Saccharomyces cerevisiae S288C: one gene and its partner. The protein of the gene in region 1 purifies or fractionates together with the protein of each later gene. This does not show direct contact. Each region holds a gene or a part of one and is shown in the gene's direction. Other genes may lie near its edges.

Region 1 (2,775 bases):
CAACTTCGAGGTTCAAGATACGGAACCTAAAGTAGAGGTGGCTAAGAAAAATGGTTTTTTGGTTCAAAATTTGGTTGCTGGAAATACTGCCGAAGATCTAAGGAGATTTTTTGAACCACATCTCAAGCATACGTTAGTAGTGAATCCTCAATACCTAATCCTTGATGATGGCAAAACAGCACTAGTGTATCCTGAAAATTACGAAACAGCATCCGTGAATACCGAACGTGACATGGAGCTTTTGGTTGGACACTTCGATTTTATGGCCAAAGAGGCATTTTTGGCCGATTCCATTTCGTTGTGTTCAACTGAAGAAGAACTTGAAAGAAGGTTGGATACGCCCGTAATTCAAGAGGATAGTCCTGTAATGGATAATAATACATGAACTATAATAGCGTGTCATTATTTATTACGCGGAATTCTAATTAAATAGAAATATCTAACTTTTATTTTTTTTCATCCTATCTCATTTCTTGTTTCTCCCTGTCGTTGCTAAAATACGAGGATCTGCATATGTTTACATATCAACGTTCCCGTAAACGAATGGAGAATACTGAGTGTCACGTTAATAATACGGATATTATAATTTGGAAACCTAGTCAAGTAAAACCAGAAGAGATTTTTCTTTTCTCTTAAGCTTTTTTGGCTTGACCAAACGAAAAGTCCCTCACACCCAAACACTGAAAGTAATTCTTCGTATTTAAATAATTCAAAAGTTATGATGAGCAGGCTCTATGTAAAAAAATGGCCCATAATTTTCCCTAGAACGTTATAAAAACGCGACTAGTGAGGTATTGAGTATGGAGAGTATATTTGGTGGGTTTGGAGATCTAGTTGTTCCTAGGCCAAAGGAGCATCTCGGTCAAACAGACCTTTCCTTCGGTGGAAAATTATTGCCTGCATTGAAAATTTGTGAAGATGGCGGTGAAAGTGGTTGTGGCGGTAAAGTCTGGATCGCTGGCGAACTGTTGTGCGAGTACATACTCGAGAAATCAGTTGACCATCTGCTAAGTAAGACGGTCAATGGTACGAAACAATTTAAAAAAGTCTTAGAATTGGGTAGTGGTACAGGTTTAGTTGGATTGTGCGTGGGGTTGTTGGAAAAAAACACATTCCACGATGGCACTAAAGTATATGTTACGGACATTGACAAGTTGATACCACTATTGAAAAGAAATATAGAACTGGACGAAGTTCAGTATGAAGTTCTTGCGAGGGAACTTTGGTGGGGTGAGCCGCTGTCGGCAGATTTCTCACCTCAAGAAGGTGCTATGCAAGCAAATAACGTTGATCTAGTTTTGGCAGCTGATTGTGTGTATCTCGAGGAAGCTTTTCCATTACTAGAAAAAACACTACTTGATCTCACTCACTGCATAAACCCACCTGTAATCTTGATGGCTTACAAGAAGAGAAGAAAAGCTGATAAACATTTTTTCAACAAGATTAAAAGAAATTTTGACGTTCTTGAAATTACAGATTTTAGTAAATTTGAACATTATCTTAAGGAAAGAACCCACTTGTTTCAGCTTATCAGGAAGTAACCTGACACAGTGAATTTATCTCTTAATGATCCTGATCTTATTATATTTAGTAATGAACTTTTCGATAGACATTTGTAATTCATGAAAAAACGATATAACATTCATTTTTGTAGTGTGGTGTACGCATGGTGGGACTGCTCTTCTTGAGCGAAATTTTGATCTTCAATAGAGTGAGCAACGACAACTCAAGGATAAAGACAGAACAGCGGTAAACATCGTTTGCAAAATAACTAGAGAGCCGGATCGATTTACTTTGCAAAGTTGCGTCCTTTTTCCACGACAGAATATGTCTGCATTATTTAATTTTCGTTCTCTTCTGCAAGTGATATTGTTACTGATTTGTTCATGTTCTTATGTTCATGGGCAGTGGCCGTCTCTCCTAGATCGTTACAAAAATCATGAGGTTTTGGGGGCCTTCTGGAAAATGGCACGTGTTGGTGAAAGGGCCAGTCCATATGTTAGTTTAGCATGTATTTTGATGGCCATCAGTCAATTTAACAGCTGATTGGAAGATACTTAGTCATATGGATTTAAAGTTACGCAAATCAAGGTCATAGAAGGTGCAGTACCTTTTAAAACAAAGAGTATAAGTGGATTCAGACGAAGTGTCTCTTTAATTCTATCGTCTGATAGCGTACAAGTAAGGGTGCTATGAGCTAGCACGCACAGCAAAAATATAAACACTTTTGTATTTTTTTTTATTTTATAGTGTTTTGTGTTGAGTATTCATCTATTCGACCTCTATAGAGATTTAAGAAGGGAATTCATTGTCACAATAAGGACGCATAGTTGTTCATTTTAGACATCATTTACAGCACTTCCGTAAACTACCCCATATTGCGATTGAATACTACCGAAAAGGCTCAAGAATTTACGTGGTGCCCAATCAATTATATAGAATGAGGAACAATGGTAAGTAATGAATAATCATGGTCAGTAATAAAAAAGCAATCTCGTCCATGTTTCTTTTTGAAACTCAGAGCTTGACTCTGTTGCATTGGTATTTCATCATTTGATGAATTATTCACTATTCCATCTTCTTCTTACACAAGTTTACCAATAAATAACTCATCTGAGTTATTCAGACTTTTTATTAGATCAGTTCGGCATATTTAACTATGCAAAAGTTTTACACTGCTAAAAAGTAGTGTAAACAACAAACTGTTAAAAAAATAAAAAGGGGTGAATCCATGGACCAAGAATAGTAAGCTCCATTGGGTTACTCGATCCAGCA
Region 2 (2,873 bases), on another chromosome or scaffold:
AAGAATTAACACCTTATCAACTGCAGCGCTCTAAAATGAAAAGAAGCTTTCAATTTCCCAATGGCGAAATATACAAGCCAAAACTTGATGGAAAATGCACCCACAGCTTGAAAAAGCCTGAATTAAATTCAAGAGACTCTTCTTTATTCAAATTCAGCGAGAAGAAAGGTCGCAATTTATCAAAAGATTTTGTGGGGCCTCATAATGGGACATCAGTCATACATATTCCTCCCAATGATACAGGCTACGGTGTAAATAGCTTGGAGCTGAACACTTCAGTTCCTTCAACAATAAAAAGTTCGGTTTCATCAACCTCTCCGATATCTGCTGTTAATACCCTGACCAGCTTGCCAGAAAGTCAAACTGATGATGATGACGGTTATGAAAATAAAACTGTAACTATATCTTATTGCTTCGAAAATACGGTAAATGAAAAACATGGTAGCCATATAGAAAAATTGGATTTATCAACTAAGGAAAAAACTAAGCCAACAACTAATTCAGGCCTATTTGATAGAAAGAAAAAGACTATTCTGGGCACTGAGAAATATAGATGTATAAAGTCACAATCGAAGTTGAAACTGGGTTCTGTTTTGAAGAAATTATGGCGTACTTCAGGAAACTCGAATACAAAGCATGGAAAAAAGGATACAAAAAGAAGGAGAATTCCTATCGATGATATGGTTACGCATTCTGATGGAAATTCTGAAGCTGAGAATGATATTGAATTAATGGATGCAAATCTGGACGGCATTGAATTTGACGACGACGAAACTCTAATGGATACAGATTCAATTTTTGATGATCTGTTGTCCAAGGAAAATGATAAATACGATTTGAGGCGAAGGCAATTAGAAATACGACAAAAGCTCCACGAGACCTCGCACAACGACGATGGCAAGGTTTCTTTTCGAGATACCGAAAAGCATAATGTCAATGAAGGTTTGATCGACAAGACCATAATCGAAGAATTTTCAAAGCTCGGTGAATATATAATCGACACGAGAAATCAACCACCACCAAGATCGTCCAAGAGGCCTTCATTAGATGACAATGAATCTGCACGATACTTCTACAACATATCGACAGATTTGCGACAGTCTCTGTCAGGTCCAATAAGCTTACCAATGCATGTTGGGAACGACATGGTAAATAGGTTGAGAAATGACTGGGAGTATATCAGATTCGAAGATAGAAGGAATTCGCTGCCAGATTCCTCATTTGATAAAGTCGAAACACCTCCAAAACCAATAAAAAAAGATGTCCGGTTTGCAAAAGAAGTATGTTTAGCAAGCACTTGGTCATCGAATGCATATGAGAGAGCTAATCCGGAATTCATTATGAATCGCCACAGATTGTTGTGGATGATGAAAGTACATCCAAGCATGAATAGTGCCATGAATGAGATCAAACTTGAACTTAACTCTTACAAAAAAAATGAGATGGTTGTCCATGAGAACAGCAAGTGCTTTACACATTATTTAATTTGAGTTATTAACGTAACATAATCCAGTTTATTTTTTGCAATAGAAGGCGTCATACATATTTATATATCAATGTATACATTCCATTCCAGTTACTTCTTTTGCATCTTGCTTCCTGTTTACCTTGACCTCGAACCTATTATTTGTCCGCAATGCGCCTTTGGGTGAAAAGGGATTTCGTTTCCATTTTAACTGTACATAATGTAAATGTAGAAAAGCGTGGTTCTTAAAGGATTTACGGTTCAATACGCTTTTATAAACCTGCTGGTGCTCTAATTACGAATGAAACATGGACCAGGCAAGAAATTTCTACAACACAATTTTAAAATCGTCGCACCCGTTGCTACTATCATTTCATCTGGCAGGTAAGGCAGTTCCCATTGTATTTTATATCATAGGATCAATGTTTTTGAATTTCACACCTCAATTCATCACTGTCGTTCTTTTACTTTCTTTTGACTTTTACTTAACAAAAAACATTACAGGTCGGAAACTGGTCCAATTACGCTGGTGGTATGATTCTACAGATGTGAACAAAGATTCTAATTTTACTTTCGAATCATATAAGCAATATGCGCCGGGCCCACCAATAAATGCCATCGATTCTAAGTTATTCTGGTGGTCGATGTATGTGACACCCGTAATCTGGGGTGTCTTCGCTGTGTTGTGTCTTTTAAGACTGAAAATATTCTACCTGATTTTGGTCATTGTTGCAATGTGTCTGACCGCCTGGAACACGTATGGATTTCGTTGTTGCGATAGATGGGAGCCCAATAGTGGACAATCTGACGGTCAAGATACTAATAATTGGTTCGCTCTTCCTTCTGTTCCGGGCTTTGAAAATCTTTCAAGGCTGGCTAATATCCAATCGTTTTTCCAGAGACAATAAAACCTTGTCCCTCATGTGAACATTGTGGAGTACTTCTTCTAGATGATTTTTACTTTACGCAATGTACTACAGGAAAAGAATACAATTATATGTATAAATATAGTATACAAAAGAAAAAACAATATTAAAATATGAAAATGACGGATGAAGTCGTTATCTTCTTTTATAAATACAGGGCTTCAAGAGCCATTTTCCTTCGGCAATTTTCCGTCTTTTCTTTTCTAATTCTTCCTTCTCAGTTTCAACTTCAATAAACTTTTGTCTTCTTTCCAATTTCTGCCTTCTCTCTTCAATAATCTCCGCAGGTGGCTTGAAAAATTCGAATCTTGTAAACATCTTATTCTCGTCGAAGGTCTTTTTGTGAAAAAATCCCATCAGCTTCAAAGCGTCTACAAATTCATTACCTTTGCCGTCACTAAACCTTGATTTAATTTCTGCGATCCATAATTCACCCCTTGGCGCTAAAATCCTATAAGCTTCTTTTATGAAATCGAGGAAAT

What was found.
Region 2: the proteins of KSH1 (region 1) and TVP23 purify together in Saccharomyces cerevisiae (affinity purification with a luminescence readout, with the first as the bait; one study listed by BioGRID). This does not show direct contact.

The regions. Positions count from the first base shown.
Region 1 is NC_001146.8:585,873-588,647, reverse strand, and holds KSH1 (Ksh1p), read left to right. Parts: upstream 1-1,827; coding exon 1,828-2,046; downstream 2,047-2,775. Other genes in the region: FAP1 (Fap1p), read left to right, coding at 1-385; EFM6 (putative protein-lysine N-methyltransferase), read left to right, coding at 801-1,541. UniProt on the Saccharomyces cerevisiae protein: Involved in the early part of the secretory pathway.
Region 2 is NC_001136.10:612,905-615,777, reverse strand, and holds TVP23 (Tvp23p), read left to right. Parts: upstream 1-1,773; coding exon 1,774-2,373; downstream 2,374-2,873. Other genes in the region: AFR1 (Afr1p), read left to right, coding at 1-1,490; RRP8 (25S rRNA (adenine645-N1)-methyltransferase), read right to left, coding at 2,527-2,873. UniProt on the Saccharomyces cerevisiae protein: Golgi membrane protein involved in vesicular trafficking.